Styela clava: one gene and its partner. The protein of the gene in region 1 purifies or fractionates together with the protein of each later gene. This does not show direct contact. Links are inferred from orthologs where the notes say so. Each region holds a gene or a part of one and is shown in the gene's direction. Other genes may lie near its edges.

What was found.
Region 2: the proteins of uncharacterized protein LOC120341675 (region 1) and FGFR1 oncogene partner 2 homolog purify together in Drosophila melanogaster (affinity purification with western blotting; 3 studies listed by BioGRID, with this or other methods). This does not show direct contact. The link is inferred for Styela clava from reciprocal best matches to the Drosophila melanogaster genes Slmap and Fgop2.

What each region holds. Positions count from the first base shown.
Region 1 is NC_135263.1:9,214,925-9,226,893, reverse strand, and holds the start of uncharacterized protein LOC120341675, read left to right. Parts: upstream 1-7,422; 5' UTR 7,423-7,663; intron 7,664-7,995; 5' UTR 7,996-7,997; coding exon 7,998-8,180; intron 8,181-8,640; coding exon 8,641-8,788; intron 8,789-10,758; coding exon 10,759-10,825; intron 10,826-11,969.
Region 2 is NC_135254.1:4,412,620-4,425,562, forward strand, and holds FGFR1 oncogene partner 2 homolog, read left to right. Parts: upstream 1-7,578; 5' UTR 7,579-7,766; coding exon 7,767-7,826; intron 7,827-8,853; coding exon 8,854-8,995; intron 8,996-9,880; coding exon 9,881-10,025; intron 10,026-10,641; coding exon 10,642-10,714; intron 10,715-11,027; coding exon 11,028-11,300; 3' UTR 11,301-12,015; downstream 12,016-12,943. Other genes in the region: uncharacterized protein LOC120332696, read right to left, coding at 694-810, 1,175-1,317, 3,173-3,300; proton-transporting V-type ATPase complex assembly regulator TMEM9-like, read right to left, coding at 4,522-5,190.

The sequences.
Region 1 (11,969 bases):
TTTTACCCTACCCCCAGTAACATATCTCCATGTTTCAAATGGAAATTTAAACCTTTCAAATATTTTAATTCATATTCAACGGTTGGCCAAGCGTTAACTATTTCCCCAAATTGCTGCACAAATTCACAGAGATAAAATAAATGTAACACAGTTTCAACATGCATATTACAAAATGTAACTTTTGGACTTTGTGTTTTATTTATTCTATATAGCAGGTCATTAGTGGGCACTGCTCGCAAAGCAAATTTAACATGGAATGAACTATGTCTGGATTCAATGGGGCAATGAAAACTTTTTCATACAATGTCAACCAATTATCTAAGTTTCTGCACAATTCTTTTGGCCGTTTTTCTATTTGATTATGTTTTTCTTGATTGAAACGATTCGATCAGACTAGGATGTGGATTGACTTGTGAGGTTTTTGATAAATTAGTTTCCCATTCCTGGGGTATATATACATGATATAATTTTTGAATACGCTAGCACAGGGCTACTCAACTGGCGGTCCGAATCCGGACCTTTCGACCATAATATTTGGACCGCTCTGCTTGTTTATTTTGGCAGCATAAGCATCGTTTTATAGTTTCAGATGATTTTGATACAATACACAGCTATACAGCTTGTCGTACTGGTACCGATGGGCGATATTATTTGTGTCCATATTTGCGAGCCATTCATTGCTCTTGTATTTAATATTGCATTTGAATTTTCGTTTATTTGATGAAATAAATTTTCTGTAATGTCCGGACCCCAGTAATTTTGAAGTTTCGTAAACGGACCTTTGGTGAAAATAGTTGAGTAGCCCTGCGCTAGCATCTCATCATAAAAACAATAAGGATGAAAAATATGCGGAAACATTGCAATTTGCTGTTTAGAATCACAAGTATCTTCAACAAAACAAATATTTTTACTATTTCATTCATCCATATATAAAAGTTTTACTTGGCAAGATATATTTTCATTAAACCAGAGAGGTTCGTGTAAATGGCTTACATCCCTAATAAGCTATGATTTGAAAATAAACCAATAGTGTCCATGAGTGGGGATTTACAGGGCTGCAAACTCCCATGAGTGCCAATTATGTGTGGGTGCCAAAATCTGCGGGTGTAAATACACGTGGGTTTAAATTAGGACGTGGCGTGGTTAAGTTTAGGCAGAGACTAAGACTGAGTAAGATACAGCAAAATTCTCATGCAGAAGAAATACCAATCAATCTACAAGTGGAATAGGGTTTACAGTCTCTTTGGTTCATATTTACTGCATTGGTCAAACGTCATGCATTAGGACAGAGTTTCCCAAACTTTTGGGCCGCGGACCGCTGTTTGTGAATTTTATTTATGATGGACCCCCATCCTATGCTGTAACAATTTCTGTCCCTAACCAACGAGGTACATAATGTTTCATTTACAACACAACAACGCAAACGACATTAATGTGATCAATGACATTAAACAACATGATAGGCAACTCTGACGTCACTCCATAAGACTACAGGCAAAACATTGTATTTCATGATACGCTCCAATGCACATATTTCTCGTCGCCTTTCGCGTCCGTTTTCCGCTCGCTTTTGCTACTCGGCGTCTTTTTTACGTGTAGTACCTGCCTTTTTGCGCCTGTAACGAAACAAAATAATCTCTATATCTAAGAAGTTTTGCTTACTTGGAAAGCTGGAATAACAGGCAAGCTGTAAAGAGCAATTCTGGACATCATAGACGTTTTTTTTTATCAGAAAAGATTACAAACGCGATAGCGGAAAGATTTGTGTGGAACATTTTGCAGATAATGACAAAGTTCAAAGTTAGTAACTTTAATGTTTGCGCTTAATCATTGAAATTTCATTTAAAGAGGGTGTCATACAAAACTGTGCTGCGATACAATTCCATAACACAAAGTTTGCACCTATCGAACTTGCTTTTGTAGGTGAATTTATTAGACATATTACATATTCAGTTAATCGTAGGTAACATTGCTGGTACATAATGCATCGTAGATAGGTTTGTTTAAATTTAGGAATTTAGCTCATAGCCCACTAATTAATATTATCTTCTATGCAGGAGGTTGCAGGGCTGAATTCAACTTGCAGCCTTACCGATCACCTGACGATGCTCATTTAGTTTGGCTCGAGCAAGTCTTCTTGAAATGCTTGTGTGAATGGAAACTACCTATATTTTTTGCCTTCCTCCGATTTTAGACAAATTTATTCTGAGGGATTTCGCATATAATTCTCACTGATTGTTGGCTGTTTATAATTCCTATTGATTGTGAATTCTGATTATAACAATGAGTTGAAAATTTTTTTACCTAATTTACTGGCACCTTTTTCTTGTCAATACTCCAAGCTGAGGTAATAAACATGACAATACATTTATGTCATCTGGAAGCAAAATATGCACACAAATTAATAGTTTGGCACATTGAGATAATACATCATGACAGAAAATACAAGTTAAAGATATGTATGACCATCACATGGTAATTAAAATTAAAAAAAATTAATAGGGGCTGTGGAGTATGGGAAGTTCAAGACAAAGAAAAGAACAAATGTTCATAGCTCATGAACTCTCAATTTTGCCTCCATTGCTTTGTGAAGGCCAATATATTTCGAGTGGCTGAATTGGTTTACCTCTATGATAGCAACGATTTTGTATTTAATATAGCGAGATTATTTCAATTTAATTGAAGTGATATAATTTCCCAAAGCAATGCTTGAATCGTCTAGAATAGATCAGTGGTGTCAAACTCATGGGTTTTCGAGAGCCGCATTACATTTTGAAAATTGTAAAAAGAGCCGCAAACAGTTTTTGATAATGTATACTTAAAAGATATTTTTAAGATAGTTTTAGTTTGTGACATATATTGTGATGCAACTAAACAGTTGGATTAAGTTTTATTATTTTCTTCAATTTCAAATGCAATTACATATTAATATTTGCATTCCACTATTATTGCAACATTTGCAAGTTACAGTATTTATTATAAAAAATCGTAAAATTCTATGTACAACCATCAAAATCATTTTTGAACAAGCTTTGAATAAGGAAAGAATAATACATACACTAAAAATAACTTAATCTAAATATATGAACCTAAAATTAACAAAAATACTACAGTATAAACTCAATGTTTTAATAATTACATTCGTCCTGGCGTTTGGCATCTTTTTTGTGTCACCAGCATACTAAGGCCAGTCTGAAATGATTTTATAGTACTCTAACTAACGAGGCCACATGATCATGGGTTTATCTGGATCTTTACGAATGTTTAAATAATTCCAGTAATGCAAAAAAGTTACTTTTATCATTTCATGTATAGATCAGTAAAAAAACAAATGACAGATTTTTTCGACAAGACATTTCGCACTACATTGCGTGGCATAGGATTGCTTGAATTATTATTGATATTGATTTTTAGTAACTAAGTCGTTGTATAATTATATTAATATACAAACACATGGAAATTTTCTGTTCGAAGTTGGTCTTCGAATTTGTCATATTGACTGCTGAGCTTATTGTGTTTTTTGATTGTATTGATGGAAATATGACAAATTAAACAATGTGCTTCAGAATTTTGTGAAGAGCAGAAATGTTACAACTCCCATTTTCTTCGAAAATGCCACCTTCTTCGTGTACTTTGCGTTTAATTTAATTACTCAAGTGTTTTATTCAAGTATTCTTTTGCTAGCTTGATGTGTATTCTTAATTGGGTCAAAATGTGGACAAAAAAAATTAATATTCCAAAACTACTTTCAGTAAATTGTTTTCTGTGTGAATAATCAATTTCACTTTAGAAGGTTTGAAAAATCTATTACATTTAAATAAAAAAAAAAATTCCAAAATACTATTACAATTATTGTTAAGCGTTCGAGGGCCGCACTGGAAGTTCTCTGGGGCCGCGAGTTTGAGATCCCTGGTCTAGATTGAAGTTGTTCAAAAAATATATTATAGTATTTTATCATGAATGATGATTATACCCCTTTCGGAATTTTTTCTATAGTACTACCAAAAGTTGATGAACCAAATATAACACAAGTGCAGTGAGGTACCCGTAATCCTCATTTCCAAAGCTGTTTTAAGTATGTCTGGCGTGTTTTGTGCCTTTTTACAAATAAGACCGCTTATGCAATCTTACGCTTTGGAATTTTTAGTTATTTTCCTCAAGCCCTGCAGGATGTGGGGGCCATACACAACTCTACCGGAGGGTCAAATGTCTTTGCATGCCTCCATAGGTTGTTTTTCTATTGCAATTTTCTATTTTCAATTGCATTATATTTCTTGGAATCACACTGTCACTGATATGTCACCAGACTTCTGATATCTCCACGTCTGCTATAGTTGTCCTGTGAATAAATAATAGGAAATTGAGATTAGACGAATAGTTGAAAGTTTTGCTTTATGTCGGCTTAATTTCTTGATTGATATACTTACTATTTCTGCTATTGCCTCTTGTGCTGCAAGAGTCTCACAATGCTTAGACAGGTTTGTCCACAACTTTCACATCTGAAGAAAGAGAGGAGATTTATTAATTTTCGTTAAGAATAAATAAAGCAGTCTATATGATTCAGAATGGAAAAGCTAATAAATCCAATATCTCATGTTTTATTTAAAAAATATTTTACTGAATTTTGGAAAATAAACCAACTAATAAAAGGGTTTAGTCAGAAAATTACAAGCATTCGTGGCTCCAAATACTTGAGAAATCAGACTATACAATATAGACCGGTATGAGTGAAATGTTAGGTGAACTTGTTAACACTTTGATTAAATACGCAAATAAAAGTGAATGCGTAATAGTATGTTACAATGAGCAGCAATCAACAATGAGTATATATCCTCACTGATTAAAAAAATCTAACTGGAGGTGCATGAACTATTTGAAACCATAAGGAGTAAGTAAATATGTAATTTCGGCAAATGGGCAACTACGTACCGTACTGAATTAATAACTTCGTAGTATTTGACAAAGGCTGGCTTTCCCACATGTACTTAACAGTGCGATGCCCGGTTGTGATATACAACAATAGTATTCACCTTACCTTTTACCGATTTCTTTTTATCCCAACTTTCAAAAATATCATTAAAATCGACAACAACTGTCAAAGCAGGCACGAACACCATTCGTGCTACGCCTTGAAAGCAGCACACATCCGCTCGTTTTCGTCTCGTCAAGTATGTGCATTGGAGCGTGCTATCGAATACGATCTTCGGACAAAAATGCCGGAGTTGCGCATCATGTTGTTTAATGTCATTGATGTGATGAACGCGGTTGATTTTCAATGCACAATTTCTCAATTCTCGGGGCAGTTTGTGACAAGCAAATTCTTAGATCCAACTCTACGGCATATCTCGGCATATATTTTGTCATCATATTGGTAAGATCTGAAAATGCTGCGCAGACATGTAGGCTGTTTTAAAATGCAATAAATTTTAATTGACTTTTCTGACAGCAATGAATATTCGTCCGCCGCAGTCAACCAAAAATAAGCAATGGAGTTTTGATTGAAATCAATCGTTGAAGATTGACCCAGCTCTTTTCCGGTCGTTGCAGAACCCTCGAGCAGTCATCACGGACACCCAGTTTGGAAAACCCTGCATCAGGATATCATTGGTGCAAGGGCAAATGTAATTTTTACATTTAGTCTAAACAAAAGAAAGATTTCCAAATGTTTGGGACCAAATGTCCACTCATGATGATTTGAATGGAATTTCCCGCGATGGAGAAAAGGGTTTATGTATGATGTTGGTTTTGACAAGATTATTGACTTAACTAGATTTCATTTTTGGACACGTAGTGGACATAGCGATCGTTTCAATATTATGTTGTTGTTGGACATGTAGTGGACATAACGATCGTTTCAATATTATGTTGTTCTTGTTGTTTGACACAGAATAACACACCTAGTGGAAATATTAAAAAAAAACGCTTTTCTCTTCGAATACTGGACCTATTGCTTTGAAATTTTCAGTGGTTGAAGATATTACTTTTATTCATTTTAAATATGTCTGCTAGCTCTGTGAGATTTGTTTTTGTTTGCTATGACGTCATTAAACTTTCTGCGGCCATCGGACGCCATTTTGTGTCCTACTGTACTGCTTCGCTTGGTGTGAATATATTTGTAGACTGTGATCTGACGGTACGGTAAACCGTACTGTACTGCGAACAGACGTGTGCATATATTTGGGCGTAGCTCTCTTGTTTTATTTGATTTGATAATGTTTTTCTTGATTGAAACGATTTAAGTTCATTATTCTTTTATCCAATATGCGGCGCCCGAGAGCTGCATCAAATCCATTTTTCACGTAAACCCTTCCCAATGCCTTTTGTTTGTCTTTATTATTTCGAATTCAAGAGCAAATCCTGGGACAGTGAATCAGAAGTTTGGGTTGTGCACTTTTAGGAGGTTGTGAGTAGACTATATAGGCAATGGTGCTGGTTTCCCAGCTTTAGCTTTGATAATTATCTATACCCAAATTTGTTGTGTCTGTTTAGACAAAATCTTAATTAAGCTTAGACAAGTGAAAGAATATTTTTAAGGGTATTTTAATCATAATTTTATTAGGCCCAAGCCCAATATTCTGATATTACTATCGGACTCATGTTGGTTTATGTCCGCATGTTGTATTCCTAACTTAGAAATTTTTGTGACTGATGTTTGCCTGAACTTGTCTCATACACTGATACTGACAGACTGATCTTCTTTCAGCAACTTAATTGACCAGACTGCCAGAGCTCAACTTTCTGACTTTTCTATTTCAATTATATTTTCCCGAATAAATTTCACCTCTTATATGTTATACTGTTATAAGTTAAGCATAAGTTTATTTTGACATCATAATCAGCATAACAGCCGAAAAATAATTGATAAAAACAAATAAATAAAAGCTGATTGCTGAATTAGGAGATAGAATTGTCAATTGGGGATACAGAAAAAATTACGACTTCATTGAAAAACACTCAAATTTGATCACATCATACTATCTACATTTTGGCCATTGCTGCATTAAATCAACTCTACAGCAATATCACAAAATGCATGTTTATATAAAGGATGTACCACAGCTAATTAAAAAATGTAATAGGCCTATAGCTCGACTGCTCGCTTAGTTACAATAACAGAATAATCAGTAATCTTCAGTTTTGATATTTAATTCTGTAATTGCTTTCAAACTATCAACCTTGATCACTGCATCGTGTAGGGTTTGAATCAAATAATAATTTAATTTATATCCTGTTAAAATAAATTGAATTACGTGGACACAAACTATAAAAAATTTCAGTTTTCTGTAATTGCTTATCATTAATTTATGTTTTATTTACAATTCGTTGAACACCCTTAATTAATGTGTTCCACATCCAATTTAATACAGTAATACCTGAATACTGATATGAAAGCATTTTTTTATATATTACAGTTATATATACTAGTTCATGAGGTCATTATACTGTTACATCATACAGCAATATCAACATTATTATTAACATCATCGGACAATGACTATGATCAGATAATAGTCTAGATACAGCATCATGTAAATTGGTTTGAAGTTCTAAAAACTTGCAACTACAATGACAACTACACATTGTGTTCTTCAACATTGGTGAAGTGCAAAAGTACCTTTGAGCAATTTCCAATTTGAGGATATATCACCCTAAGTACAAACAGGTGAGAACAGATTATTTTGAGACAAATATATGCTTCTTGGTATTGTATCAAGATTTTGGTTCTTACAATCAGTGAACTTGCTATTTTTTTAGCATTTAGTTTGCTAGTCAATAACCATGTATTGTTCTTGCAAGCTGCTACTGTTCTCTTATGAATATATATATATTCAGATATTGGCTTTTTTATTTGGGCAAATTATCAAAACTGCAGAAAACTGGAAAATCAAGGTCAAGCTTTTAATTTATACAAACGAGAGTTGTAAACATATCTCAATGATAAAACATAGTGCTGCTTCATATAAATTTTAAATATGGGTGAAATCATAATTTCAGAAATGACTGCAACATTCACTTGTCGTACAAATTCTCATCCATTCCAAGAGAGGAGAGTTTCGTTGACGGAGCCAGCTAAAATTGGCCGTTCAGTCGCCAGAGCGCGACCAGCAGCAAACAATGCAATATTTGACTGTAAAGTTTTGTCAAGAAATCATGCCTTGTTATGGTATGAAGATGGCAAGGTAAACTTTAGTTGGAATTTCATGAAATTGAAACTTTATTAATGTGAAATGAAATTAGGTTTTGTTCTTATAAATCGGAAATGAAAACAACTTGTGTGGGCACAATGGCTCAACAGTTGACTTTGTAGACATCGCAGGGTAAACATCTCATGCCTACCATCTCAATAATTGAGTTGTCAATGCCGTAACAGACTTCCCAATTCCTCTAGAAAATAGGAGCTCTAAATATCGTTAGATACCAGCTTGCTTGTAGTAACAGGGTCTTGTTCTGAGCAAAAGACATGACACAAAATAGGTAGCCTATGATATATATTCTAACACCGTTATACGATTACTTTGGTAATGTACAAGATGTTTCATCTCAATAGTGTAGATTTGCTTTGATCGAGAAAAATAGCCTTCAATGTGATGAAAATATAGTATGCTATATCAATCTAATCTTATGTTTCTTTTTCTTCAGTTTTATTTGAAAGATACTAAAAGCAGTAATGGGACTTTTGTAAATAACCAAAGATTAAGTAAAGGTGCTGAAGAAAGTATGCCATTCGAAGTAAATTCTGGTGACATTGTGCAGTTCGGCGTTGATGTGGTGGAGAACTCAAGAAGAGGTGACCTGGTGTTTTTCTTATAATTCTAGATAGTGGTGATTTGAGTGAGATGTGATAAGTTATATAGCATTGGCTGACATTGTTAATTGTTATATTTAAATCAGTTTGTGGTTTATTAAAGATTAGTTCTGGTAGTCTAGTCCAGTTATATAAAGCAAGAATTTGTTTTTGTTGCAAGTTCCTCATTCAGATTTGCTAGGAGCAATCTTTAAATATTGAAATTACATTGATTGTATTGGTAGAAATTTTGACAGTATTATATAATATCTTTTGAGTGTTCCATATAATATTCTTCTGCATCTAAATTTTGTATTTGTTGTATACCACTCCTGTAAATATATCATGAACTTGGCTTTAATTTTGTTAAAAATGCAAGTTGTACGAACTGGAGAACCAGCCACCACCCAAAAATAAGCCAATTAAGTATCAAAAGAGAATGATGCATATTGACCGAATGGAAGTTCAAAACTGATCAATTCTAAATTAATTATATTTGATGTTTTAAATTCGTGATTTTAGGAATAATTTAGTGGAGATTCATTTCAAAATTTATCATTTTAACCTCCACAATCCACATCATATATGAAACGGCCTTATTAGGAGGTATACAATAAATAGTTGACCAATCAAATCACTAGGCTATTCATCTTAACCTTCCTGCATTTGCAAATTCAAACTCATTGAATGCAATGCAACTTGACTTCTTTATGTTTTATTTTAACATGGCCCAATTAGAATATATTTATTAATCATATCCAAACATTATTTCAGAATGTATTTAGAATTGTATATTATTCGGTTTTGATCCTTGCTTACTGTTCGCTTCTTGGTAGATATTCCTTTCAATATAACATAACAATTATGTTATGATAACTCATATTAAGTTGGAAGATTTTTTTGTTTAAGCCCATGAGCATAATCACCTCTGAATTCCAAATCATATTCTCACTTGTAAAGTTGAATTATCTTAAATTTCAAATTTTAGATATATTGAAACTTTAATATTGAATAATTAAATTATCGTAGCAATGCAGTCATGTGTGTCCACGAACAATCAAATTGATTTAAACAACTTTTGATTTTGTGGTTATACCTCTCGTAATTGTTCTAGTTCATGCCTCAAACAATACCCAAGTAGGAGTTTGAATTCATTCACTTGAACAAGACACTCAATAGTCCAATCCTACTTATCCTGTCGTAGTAATAGGGTATACACAAATGGCTCCGATGGGGATTCTATGAATACAAAATATGTCCTTGCATAAAATAAACTACATTGATTTTGGTTTATTTTTATGTCAGTTGTCAACTAATTTACTAAATCAATCAAAAGTATCCCTACTTTCCATATGCATGAACGCTTTTAGTGTTTCATGTCAAATTTTATGGATGAAAATCCAGCAGATAGGTTATTTTTGCAGAATACATTCATACATTTAGATTGATGGTTTCCTACCTTTTTTAATACATTCCCCCTTTGCATGTTATGAAACTCTTCTTTCCCCCTTGCAATGCTTACTAGCAGATGATATGCACATCTTGCATGAGGGCTCACGTACAATTTGTAATAAATGTATAAATTTGTATTACAATACTGCTAAATGAGTCAATATTTGTTATACTACACGCAGGTACAGAAGTTTCTCCCCAAAAATAGTAACATTCTTTCCTGGGACGGAAATGATTCCTGACATAATCAAATTTCGAAACTAATCTCCAATCAAATTTCTCGATTATGAAACCATATGATCATCCTTAGTCATACACACCATTGCTTACCCTCTAAGTTTAAATTACGGTATAGCATGTAATATGTGGTACATATAGTGATATTTTTCTACTCATGCGGTTTACATAACAGCATTCTATATATAGAAGGTAATATTTAGTTGTAATGCTTCAGATACTTCCATCTCTCTCAGTAAATTTACTATTTCACTATATAATAATACTATATTTTTAATTTTTAGTAACTCATGGCTGTATTGTTTCACAAGTACGTTTATATCTTCCAAATGGTGATGAAGCCAAACAAAGGTAATTATATGACTTTTATTTATCACAACAAGCAATAGTAGTTTATTCAAAAGTTACTTGTTATTAGAATGTAAATGGATGTTGATGTGTAGCATTCAACTATATATTAAATTCTTCGATGATAAAATACTATCCATGCTATTGGATTGATCAAATTTCATACAGGAAGAGTTGTTTATTTATATTGAATAGCTTTTAATGTGGGCTGCATAGTGGGCTATTCTGAATTGTTCACACCAGTGAACTGATGTGGTAGAAAGCAGTAAAAATAATGAGTCAGACATGACCCTGTGACTGAGTAATTCACACTTTCCTGGGCTGTCCTGCTCTTTGTGGTGCTGTCTATTTGACATTTACTCTTTGTTGGTGCTTTTGGTTCAGCATTTGTAGGAACTTCTGTATAGATGGTGCATTGTATAGTAGTTGACTAGTTGTATTCAAATATTTAGTCTTCCAGTAACAGCTGTTTAAAAAGGATGAAATATTTGTGATCTTAGAGTATTGTGGTTTAGCGATTAAATAAATTGGATAGATTACTCTTAAAAATAATTGGCAATAGATAGAGAAATCAATAATTTTCATGTTTGAATGGCTAGATATTTTCAAACTTGTGCCTTGTGACTGATTTGAGATATGAAATTTTTATGGATAGATGCAATAAATAGGCCAATTGCGACTGAAATATACATTATCTAAAGAGGTAAAATGCTCATGTAACATGTAGGTTTTCCTCCAACAATTTTTCCTCTATATTTTGAAATTGTGGTTGGCGTAAACAGGCTCATTTATCCAATATAAAAGTGTTAATAATGTTGTACATTTTATGATTCAGTTACACAATTGAATAAACAAAATTACAATTCAAAGCAAAAACTCAAACACATTTCCCATTGTGCTTCATTTTTATACAATAGAAATATGTAGGCAATAAAAATAGAAACACCCATGGATGGTGAAGTTTTTATCAATGATATAGATAGTGTCTGCTTCAAATTAACATACAAATAGTGTGCTTGAGAATGGCTAAATAACTTATACCTCTCATATTGGAATATAAAGAAATTGCATAGGAAACAGTTACCTGGTGCTGATATAAATACTACCGTAATAAACTTTCAGTGAAGATTGAATATAAATAAGTTTT
Region 2 (12,943 bases), on another chromosome or scaffold:
GAGATAAGCATACGAGCTATAACATTAAATTGAAAAGTCGATGAAAAGTCCCGACATAGGCAACAAAATTGTGTGCAAGATAAACAATATTCGTGCCACTTTGGTATGTGGTTTCAACGTTATAAAACCACTTTGGTTCGTAATCCCACTTGCTTAACATGATCGAAATTGGGCGCCCCCGAAGTATGTGCACCAAGATGGCGCACAACCTGAACCCTAACCTGGTACACATACTATGTTCAGGTTGTGCACCATCTTGATGCACATTTTTCTGGAGTTCCCAAAATTGCATAAAAACATCCTCATGGATTTCAGTTCCTATCACAGAGATCACATAACTGCTAAGACCGTATACCAAAGTCCCGATATTCTAATAAACACTAATAATCAGATTCTTTGACTGTGGTATTCAAATATACAGGGTGTCCATAAAGTCCCTTTTACAAGTCTCAATTTTGTTATCAAGTAACAAAAGTTATGAAGTTCTCAATATATCTTAACCAGGTTTGTTGTTTTTTATTCAGTAATTGTTCAAGTATTTTTACTTCATTTAATACAACTGTGAGGGCCAAAACGATATAGCATCAGTAAATTCCCTTTGCAATTTTATAATTTGTGGACACCCTATTATTTTACAGTTCGATTTCGACATTCTTGTCACACATAGTGCGCAATAACAGTACTTCTTCTTACCTTTGATAAAGTCCTCTTGTTCGTCAGCGATATTCTTAACTGCATTGTAAGTGTGAGTATGGATCAATATCTGATCTCCTGGCTCAAATTTCAAGCATTTCACCACAGTGTTGATGCCTGAGAAATAATAATAAATTAAAATAGTTTTCTAACACTCAGCTAAGGGTAAGACAGTTGGTGCAAATTTTGCTCTGAACCTACTAAATTTAATTCTAATCTCAACAATGTCGTTGAGTTATTCTTAGCTGAAACATCAAAATTTGGTTAAGATAGGATTTACATATTTATCCCGGGGGAGAGGAAAGTTGGTAAGACGGCTTAACCATATGGCGAACCACGGCCTCTCGTCCGGTTATCTGTCCATGTCGGGTATGGGATTAGTTAGTTATTTTTGTTTTCGGAAGCATGGACTTGATGGTGGAGTAAGCCGTTTAAGTTGCGATAAAATCGGCCTAATATTTGACATTTGCAAACTTCAAACCTGTAGTCACATTGTCAACAAGCACCAAGTTCGATTTATTAACTCCAAGAAATTCCGCAGCAGCTGTGAGAGAAGCATCGTAGTATTTTTCCAGGTTGAATCGGAACCAGAGGTCGGGCTGCGCTTCTTGCTCATATATGAACCTGAAATAAGTTGATAGTGTCATAGGATGGTCCAAAAAAAACAGAACCCAAGTCATCTGGAAAATATTCTAGAGCAGGGGTTCTCAAATGATGAGGCGCGCCCCACAAGGGGGCCATGGATAATATTTTGAGGGAGCGCTAATTAAAAATTAAAATATTTGTTCGATTCGATATTGCCCCCTTTAATTTGGATATTTACATTCTTTTACTCTTTGGTTAGAGATTGTGATTCCATCCACGTATTTTCAACATGTTTTTCGAATAAAACATACTTTCGCCTTACTATCTGTTATATGTAGCTTATTGTCAGCTAGTTATTTTCGAGGTGGGGCACAAGACTTGACAAGTCATTAAAAGGGGGCGAGGATTAAAAAATTAAAAAGAGAACAACTGTTCTAGAGAGAACATAAATTTCAAACAGTCCTAGATTACTAAAACTTTTGGATACAATCATACACAAACAGAAATCAAATGTTAAATAAATATCCTTCAAAATTTATAAGTTCTCTTTTTTGAGTCACCCTGTCAGAGAGAATTGTACTTATACAATGGTTTACTTAAATTATTTGCTTGGTGCAGGGGTGGGCAATTACTTTTCTGAGTGAGTCTGCTACAGATAACAGACTTGGTTACTGGGCCAGAGGCCTATTATGAAAAACTATGAATAAAAACAGTTTACTTACAACTACTTGTCTGTCAGCTAGGCTACTGTTTGTATAATAATATTAAGCAGAATGTAACTATCAGCGTCATTATGATGTTATTTTCATCTAGATTTTTAACAGAATTTATATCCATAAAACTATAGTTATAATTTCAGCAGCCCACACTGGACCTGGATGAAACATTTCGGTGGGCCAGATCTGGCCTGCAGGCGTAATTTGCCCACCCCTGGCTTGGGGGATAGGAGCTCACAGGGTTAAGATGATTTATCAGGAGCTCACAGGGTTAAGATGATTTATCAGGTTCGGATGCCATGGTGGTAAACTACAGATTACTGTTATGCTAGTTAGTGGTTCAAAATACCAGGCAATTGAAATGATAAACTACTTGTTACCTATCTCCTAATACCTGTCCTGGCATCTTAATTAATAATACTCTGCACAATTAGGCTTTATGGCAGGGGTGGGCAAAATTTTTTAGTATAAGAGCCGCATGTAGCAAGTCAGAAATATGTGAGAGCCGCATAATTTTTGAAATTAATAATATTAGAACGTAAGATTAGTCGTTTGACCGATTTAAATTAAATTCCACGCTACGATTTTCATACTAAAACAGAATTTGTCTTAATCATAGTAGAAAACTTCGTTCAACCGCATAATGATTTAAAAACTGTTGCGCTACAGTTTCTCATAGTTAAATTTGGATAATATATTACTATTGCTAGCGAGAAGAGCCGCATAAAAACCCTGGCGAGTCACATGCGGCTCGTGAGCCGCTGTTTGCCCGTTGCTTTATGGGCTTATCTCTCCCCCCAGTAAAAATATGAAAATCCTGTACATTATTAATATACATTTAACTGAGTTACAATTGAGTGGCAAGGCTTTTCATATAGATTTAAAATTCTATTCTACAAGGATATCAATAAATAATATTACATAAAATTACTGTCTTTGAGTATGCAAAATTATTTCAGTCAATATCATGTATTTCAGCATAAATGAGAGTTTTGATAATATCATAGTTTAATCATATATTACGGCACCGTTGCTTGATAACCAATATTACTAATTTTGTGTTGACCGTCATCCTGAAATGCCTTTTTTACATTGTGTATGCACAGTGTATTTTTAGCATTATGAAAAAGTGAACACTAATAACTGATAAATCCCAATATTCAAAAATGAGAACTTACTTGACTTTCTGTTCCACCACTCTCTTAGGAGTTGGCCCATAAGATCCATGGTTCACAAAAGCACATGATTTATCCAAGAGAAACTCATCCTTCATTTCATCTCCAAACTTTACGTCTTTCAAATCCATATTTCCAATGCGATACCAAAAGATAGATTAGAAAATTTAGATATTACTTTGATCTAAATAAGTAATAAATTGCTATAATATCACATCACAACAGAGAGAGAAATTTTGAATACACTGATAAAGTATTTTCTGCATGGTTCAAATATAAAATATATTATGTTTTATTTTTTTTACACAAGATTTGACCCCAGGAAGTAATGACCCAGAAACTATTCAAGCATCATTGATTCCCAAAGGTGAAATAGCTTTCAATTCAGGTTTAATCAAAACAAGATTGCCCTCACGAGAAATTAGATTAGAGATAGAAGAGTAGCAGACAGCCACTGACACTTGTTACTCACATAATGATTTTTAAGTGTTTGTTTTCCATATAAGCTCCAATAAAAACGGACAGTGAAATTGCTTCTCTGTTGGTTAGTTAGCAACAATATGCACTAATAATTTTATGTGCGTAAAAAAAGACTCCAAGAAGCAAGAAAAAATAAAATAATAGCCGCCCAATAAGACAGCCCCCCCTAAAATCAGGTCAAAAAATTGGGTCGAGAGAAGCGACTTAATAACCAGGAAATACTGTTTATTGGTATAATCTTGGATAACTATCTTGACTGAAACACAAACTAAAACTTGCTGCTAAAATAAGTTGACTATTGCACAAAACAAAAACAAAAAAAATTAATCACGAATAACTTGTGCACAGGAATCACAAAAAAACTGCAAGTCTAAGTTCCTAGTAAAAAACCTAGAGAAGTTTTAGGTTTCTAAATAAAGTATTCAATATGGCCAAGAATTCGATGCAGTATAAAAAGAGCATGTTGGTTGTCCCGAATTGGCTTCCTACGTAACAAAAGTAAACTAGACCTTAAGACTGAGGTTTTATAGAATTGCTTTAATATGATCTTCATTTTAGTCCAGAAAAAGAGGGCTTAATCATATGATAGTAAGTGAGTCTATAGTCTCGTCACCGGGTCGAGAATTACTAAACAGTCCGATGCAAAAAATAGGGGGTAACAAAGAGGTGTCGGCTAATTGATTTGGATTCTAACACAAGCCTTTATTACCTAGACTTGCATACACATATTGTGAAAAATAGAAAAATGAGTATGAGGAACCACTTTCTAATATCAATCTCAAGTAGTTTGGATTATTTTTGTGTTGTAGAGGCAAAGAAAATCCAATCAATTCATCCTTTCATCGGCGAGGAATTCGTGCAATCTTTTCCCATTATTGCAGAATATTTCTACTCTCAAAGACTTTATCCCGTTGGCTTTTTAGTTGTCGCTTCCACTCTACTTGTGCGTTTGTTAGTCGATTCATCATCATAGAACTTGTAGAACTATGCTGCCTCCGATGGCTGCGAAAGCGCATATTTTCGGCAGTTTCAGATGAAGTCGAGGGTCGATCTTCACTGACTAAATTCTGAGTTTCAACTCCTTGTTCTCGATTCCGCTTTTTACCGATAAAATCAACTAATCCAACAATTGCCAAATATGAGAATAATATTCCAATTAAAATCAGATACATCAGGACAACAACCTCCATAGTCTTAGTGCTTCGTACTTCATATTTACACTGACACAAGAGGCAGTATTGTTCCAGCATTACGCCAGATATATTTGCCCAATTCAATTCCGGAACGACAACATCTAAACAGTTACATTTTTCTTGAACTGCATCTTTTGTATAAACCTTTCTCGGAATATTGAGAGCAATAAGTTGTTTGCAAGTGCAGCGACACCGAATGTCATTGAATTTTGCTTCTGCCGATATCTCACATAAAAGGTTACAAATAGTGAGTAAAAATAAAGTTAGTAACGACCCCTTAATAGTAGGCAACATGATTATTTGTCCGTTTAATACTATATCTAAAATATTCTGAGAAGATGAAAACATTGTCAAGCAATGATACTAAATAAAGAATCAAGAATCCGGTATTCATTTTCACCAAGTAAAAATGTGTCTATGTGCCTAATTAGGTAACAAACAAATCAAAATTATATACAAAGAGGTATGATATTACTGAATTACAACACCATTTGCAAATTTATATAGTTTTTATTAATTTTTAGACGCAGAAGCTTTAGAAATAGGATAAGATTTACATGTTATACCCGGAGACCAGTCTGGATTTCATGGCCTTTTTGAACGAGAAATCGGGCGTGCAATCAGAAATTCCCGCGTGCAAATAAGAATTCCTGGCGTGCAATTATAGCTCACGACGTGCAAAACAACTGCACTCGCGTGCAACTGACTTTGACATCAGATACCTCTCAATACATCCGCGTAAAATTACCGGTATCGGATAAAAAAATACGTTGAATCAGAGAAAAAATGGACGTTTGACCTTTGACCCCAAACATTATTTCTACAGTTTGTCGCTAATTTTGAGAGTGTTTGTGCGACTTTGGATACCGGTACTGTTCAGTACATCCGCGTAAAATTATTGGATAAAAAATACGTTGAACCAGAGCAAAATGGACATACTTTGTCATTAATTTTGGTAGTGTTTTTACGTAGAATTAATGGATAAATAATACGTCAAATTAGAGCAAAATGGAAGTTTGATTTTTGACCCCAAACATTATTTTCATACTTTGTCACTAATTTTGGGAGTGTTTGAGCAACTTTAGATACCGGTACTGTTCAGTACATTCGTGTAAAATTATTGTATGAAAAATACGCTGAATCAGAGCCGTACTTGGCCATTGGTGCGGAGGCGATCTTTTCGTCCATAACTATTCTCACGGGATTCCTATTTCCTATCATTCAACACGATATGAACCTTTCCCCGAGCATCGACTTCCTTGTTTACTTCGTGACATTGGCCAATCAGCAAGATGCAAAAAAGGACGTAACAATGAGAGGAATTTTTCGCGGGTCAAAGGTTGGGGAAAGGTCCATGGTCTTTTTGCTTCGCAATATTTCGATCAGACCAAATCTTGCAAGCTGGTATTTGTCGACAATTGTGGAGTTATAATATTTTGGCATCTTTATATTACTGGATTATTGATTTTAAAACTATTTAAACCGATTTACATTGGTGAGCAATTGCAAATTTTCGGCGTGCAAAATTGATTTCGCTCGCGTGCATTTTTGCGGAGCGCTAGCGCCCTCGGGCGTGCACCTGCCATGGAATCCAGTCTGGCCCGGAGATACAATCAATTTTTTTTTGGTCACTCTGAAAGAAACAAAACAACAACAAACAGACAAACAAAATGCAGAGGACCTGGGCATAACTTAATAGAAAAGTTAAAAAACAGACGAGTGCGTGCCCGTCCACCAAAAACAGTCAAAAGAAAACAATAAAATCAAGACACGATGTAAAATCGAGCGATATCTTTCAAATTAATTCTTATGCGTGATTACAGAAAAAATTGATTGATCAGTGAAATTTTTTTACAAAACAAAAGTTAATCATGAGAAAATGAACTAGGCTATGTACAGTATGTGAGAAAGTGGCATGCATAGACTTGCTACAACAGACAGAATCGTTAAAGCAGACATGTACAATTACAACCGTCTGCACTCCCGAAGGTAACAGGCATTCAACTTCTTATTTACAAAAATGTACCGGTAATGATTTAGAGCTTGCATTCTTGTGCGGCTGTTTTTGAGAATGATACCGGTAGCCTACATAAAATAATAACCTCCAGTCGAACGCTACCGGTACCGTACCGGTGCCGGGTACGGTATGCTGTGAAATGTAACTGAACTGTACCGGTAACTGTTCTCCATTCTGCACCCGATTCATTCTGGTAATTATGAATCAGTATCTCTTTGTATCGCAGTGTCAGCCTCCTAAGAGCCTTGTTTAAAATAAAAAAGGACAAAGCCCGTGTATAAAAAAAAACAGGCTATTCCAAATATCTTCTCAAAGCCCCGTTTGATCCCAAACTGTATTCGCGCAAAAGTACCTCAATTCGCGCAAATCTTCCAAAATGTTTTTATCATTTCGATCAAAGTCCTTATATTTCGATCGGCTGCTGGCGCCTCGAGAAGAAAGTGGTTGATAATGTGGTTAACTGGGGAAGAAGCCGTCTATATTGTTTTATTGCAAATTTATAATAAATGTTATCATAAACAAAAATACCTGAAACATTCACCCACTCGTGAAAACTTTTAAAAGGTCAGTTCACCATGAACGATTTGTGGGAATAATACCGTTAGTGGCGATAGAGATACATTCTTTGTTTCCTCAAGTTACCAAATTTATGCCTGATGTCCTACATTCAGACCGTCATTTTTCTTATTTTATTGCTAAAAATGCATTTTCAATACATTTTTTTGGATAACTGTATTTTAGAGCAAAATATCTTTAGTTATATCATATATCTTGTTTTAAGTTATCAACATAGAAAACGATTTTTTGCAAAAAGTAAATTTAAAATCTGGCATATTGAAAAAGAAAAAAGGGTATTTTTTGAAGAGCAATCAGTCTAGTTTCCTTGTACATCGACTAGTTTGCAAAAATGAATATCACCATCGAGTCGTTGCTTGCGGACGCTAAATATCTTGTTACAAGATTGAAGGTAGAGTATTTCAATGTTTTGACAGTTAATAAAGGCTTCTACATATAATTCAATCCTCTTGAGGCAGACTTCCGGCTTTTTTACTGATTCAGGTTTTGATATTTATCCCTGGGAAGGGAAAGTCAATAACTGGCTGACTAATCCCATACCCGACATGGACTGGTAACCGGACGAGAGACTGTGGTTTGCCATATGATTAAGCCATGCTATTGTCTTTCTTCTCCCCCCCCCCCGAGATAAAAATGTAAATTCTATCAGTCTATCCTAGTCCTAAGAAAGCTTAATTACATGGCGAACCACAGTCTCTTGTCTGGTTCGCGGGCCATATTGGATATGAAGCTCATTCAACCAGTTATTAGTTTTCAGATGCATGGACTTGATTGTGTGGTAAGCTGTAACAGACCAGCGGTCACATGAACCGTTCTGTTTCTTCAGATATTAGAATACTGACTTGTGGCTATTGTATGTCAGTTCATGTAAAGGCTGGTTTGTTACTGCTTACTCCAATGTCCAAGAGCAGAAGTGCGAGTACCTGTAATGTTGAACTATAAATTAACTTACGTTGATCAGTATTATAGTAGACTAATAGTGAAAAATATTGGTATGTCTGTATATGTATGTATGTATGTTTACTAATATATCAAATTCCTTCTCTGTTGGGAAAATTGTGATGTCATAGTCTTTCGAATCATTCTAAACCACTAAAAGGCCCTGTGAATGTACTAGTTAAATTAGTGATTTCTAATCTTCTCTCCTGGTCAGACCCAAGTATAATTTTATTAGTTTGAAAGCCACGAGCATCTAAAAATCTTTTGAAAGTTATTGCACCCTGGATTATGAACCAACTAAGTGATATTTCGATCAGCCAGGGTTTATGCGGGCCACACAATTGAAACAAATTTTGGTACTCCTGTAGTATGTGAACCAAGATGGCGGAGCCAACATGCTTCTGGAGGTCACAAATTTTCAGTGCTTTCTAGCATGCACTATCGAAAGATTATTCTTTTATTTTCATCTATTATCCCAGGATCATGACAGCGCTGCTGAAAGTCTTGCCGAACAGGCTTCAACTCTCAAGAAAGAGATGGAAGCGAGAAACACATATCAAGAAAATTTGATTGAACTGAACAAAGTTGCTGGACACAGACCAAGGTCTACTTTAGTCTTAGGTAAGACAAATTTTTAAAAGAACCAGTGCTAGCTTTGCTCATGTTTTTAATGTGATATTTTTTATGATTATCTTTGCTTGCCTGTATGATATTTCCGGACATGACGTGATCGTTTTTTTATCTTGTACTGAAATTTCAATTCGAAATTGGTAATTAAGAATTAATTATCTTAAATTAGTGGTTATAAGGAAGTGGTGGAAGTTATTATTAGTTTGGAATAGAAAAAAATGTAAATATTGTAAAAATGTATAAACCAGTGGTTCCCAACTTTTTTTGGTTTGCAACCTCCTTTGGTGGTTTACACATACCTCGCGACCCTCTGCCTCACTTTCTGTACTTTCCAATAAAATAAGCGGTAAAGTGAATATTGTGTAATTTAATTTTTCATCAAGCTGCAGCTGTGATGGCTGGCATTGAAACCGCGTAGCCAACTGCGTAATTCGTGGTTTGAGTTTTTGACAAAGCTAATCTCAAGATGTATGATAATCTTCACAAACTACAAGCCTACCCTGCAGTAGACCCCTTGGTATTGAAATCCTGTTCCACAGCATTGCTTCGAAGCCTGTGTGTTTACCGCGTCACGGCGCGGAAATGCAGACGAGTTCGTGTGGCGTCACAATGGTTAACATGCCATATACAACTCGCGCAGCTTGCCTCTTTCGGAGGCAAACGAGAGTCAATTCCAGACTTCTTCTCGTTCTATTGGCAATATTTAACCTAGAGCTTTGTACTATTTTCTACTGTTTGGCAAGACCTTCGCGACCCCCTTGAAAACCCGCCCCGTCTCCAGGTTGGAAACCACTGTTTTAAACAAATGTGGATCTCAAATAATACTTCTGATAAAAAAAAAATTATGTTTGCTAAATTCACACTTTTATCTTCAAGGTATTCAGCAAGAAAATAATGCAATTCGGTCCCTACAACATGAGAATGATGAATTGCGACAAAGTTTGACCGACCACCAGAACGCATTGGAACTTATCATGACTAAGTACAGACAGCAGATGATGAAGTTCACTAAGCACCAAAAGTATGTGGATCTTGTCAATGTATTTCATAATCTCAGTGAGAGGAAAGTCTGATTAAATACATTTAATGCTGATAAATACATTTATTCCATTTATACTCAAGTCCATGCCCACAAAAACTAATCCCATACCTGAGGACATGGTTAGCCATATGATCAAGCTGTCTTATTGTCTTTTCCCTTCTCGTGGATGAATATTTAGGCTATTTTCTATCCTAATGTTGAAAAATAATAATGAACTTTCAATTGGCTTAAAATATCAAAATCAATCAACTGTGACTAGAACCACTGGTTATAAACCAGTGGATTTTGAGTTGGGCCACAGAACTGATAAAAATTGCTAGTTTTATTTATATTACAATAGTTAGTTTTGATTTTAGCTACAATCAATGACAATGCTGTTTACTGCTAATAGGTGGTAATTCCAATTCAAATAAAAAACGTTGAAGTGCCAGTTTTCGCAGAAAGATCTTGATTTCACTTCCAGTTTTCCCCTTGCAATAAAAAAGTTAATGGGCCACAAGAATATTTGGGCAATAAAAATGGGCCATGAAAGAAAAAAGATTGAGGACCACTGGTAGACAGCATTTATAATTTTATTTATATCTTCCACTTTCAGCATCCAGATCACTGAAAATGCTTATCAAGCAGAAAAACAATATCAAGAAGAGAATATGGAGCTAATTGATAAGGTACTTTTAATTTTATAGTAGAAAAGATGAGCATCCTGATTAATCAAGATCAGTATATTATATATTTGCCCTGCAGGTGTACAAGCAGACACTACGCACTAATATCTGACGATATGTAATGAGCTACTAATATTTGAAGGACGGGACTCTTTCTTACTTGGCAATCTTGTCATTGTTAATGCTGCAGGTTTGACAAGAAATATTCAAGCACACAAATTCGACCACATGGTGGCGCTGAAGATTCAAGTTATTTCAAAACAAAAAAGGGTTGCAGTTTTATCTAACAAACATTGTTTATCTTTCTATGTTCCAGATTCACGAGATGGCTGCTGTGATGAGGCATGCTGCGGATGTCGACGATGAGCAATATATCAGAGATTACGAAGAATTATCCCGATTGCAAACAGAAAATGACATTTTAAGAGAAATGCTGATGATATCTAAGAGTTCATTTGGATCAAGACTTATAACCACTGAACAGAAAGATTCTGGAAAGACTGACAAACCAGAATATGAATCTGAAATGGTGCTCACTGACGATACTACTAGTGATAAGACAGTTATACATGAGGGGGAATCCCCCTAACACTACTCCCCAGACAGTTATTTTATTACAATAGGGAGGACGTTTATGTTCCTTCGAAGGGTACTCCCGTAGTATGTGTGTACCAGGTTCATAATTCATTCAGATTTTTCTTATTTTAGTTTTATTTTGAGTTCGGGACTGTCTGTGTTAGCCAAGTGGATATACCCCTTGCCCATAGGTTTCAGTCCCTTTTCACAACTTGATGTAATGTAAGCGAACAAAATTAGTTACCTCCATATTGGTACACATACTTCCGGAGCGCCCCTTACTCTTGTTATTCCTTGTGTTTCTATCGAAACTCAGTACTAAGGAAATATATCTGGTTCATACAAAGTACTCTGCACAAGACTGTAGGCTGTCCAGGGGTTTTGCAGGTTTGTATTGAAATCCTGTAGTCTATATCAGGGCTACTCAACTGGGGGCCGCGGCCCGATTTCGGACCTTTCGGGTATTTGATCCGAACGCATAATTCTTCATTTTGGATCATTAGCCCACTTTTGAAGTTCATTTTATAAAATCACTTTTATAGATTTAAAAATATATATGAAAAGAACTATAACACCATAACAAACAATCTTGATTACCTAATAATCATTAGTCGGCCGAGGAATCGTGTGCTTGAGGATGCCGAAATATAATGTCTGGAAAGTCCGGATCCAGATATTTTTGAAGTTTTGTATGCGGACCTCCGGTAAAAACAGTTGAGTAGCCCTGGTCTATATTATTACATTTATCTTGTTTAAATATAATTAAATACACGGATATAATATAATGAGTGTGTTTCATGAGAGACTTTCATTTTCTCTACATTAGAGCTAAGATCAATTCCGGCCCAGGCCCGTGGGTATGGAACCCGACCGGTGTCCGACTAATTAACTGGATTTGCAGGCCCGAGCCCGAAGCAAACCCGAAATTTTATATTTTAATCAGGAGATCTCTGAATTGTCATTGCAAGAGTGTCGTGTTGATGGGGCAACTTCTGTTTTTTGCAGACCACGGTCTTTCGTGGCAAAAACGCTTCTTTTAACAAAAAAGTCAGCGACAGAACAGCCAGACCCGGCTCGAATTCCGGGTTCAGGCTTCAGATCTTAGCTCTACTCTACATCAAATTTCCGTTTCACATTTTTTGATTGTCATATTATAATGTATATTCAGTTACACAGGGGTTCTTAAGCCTTTGAAATGTTTATTGGGGTTCCTCTCCTTCAATTAAGGTTGAAAAATCTTTGCTCTAGACCATGGGTGTGCAACCTTTTTTATTGGCGGGCCAAATACAAGTAACTGGATGAAGCCGCGGGCCGCAACTTTATTTAATTTAGGCTTTCTGGTAGTTAGTTGCAAGCACAAAAATTGCCTATATTTGCTATTGATCTTACGGCATTAATAGGGGTTCTTGCAGAAATAGTAGATTTAAAACGCATAAACTTCTGAAGAAACTGCTATTTAAATTTTTTGTTACACCGACTTTAAACGAATGCAGTGAGAAACACGTTTTTGTAATATAAATCGTGTATTTTGCTAGCTCGTTTTGCTAATATGACTGGTATGGGCTTTGTGACGAAAAAGAATAAATACTCGTTTTGCGGGTACACCATTCGAAATTGTTATTTCTCCGCGGGCCGCAGTTTGCACACCCCTGCTCT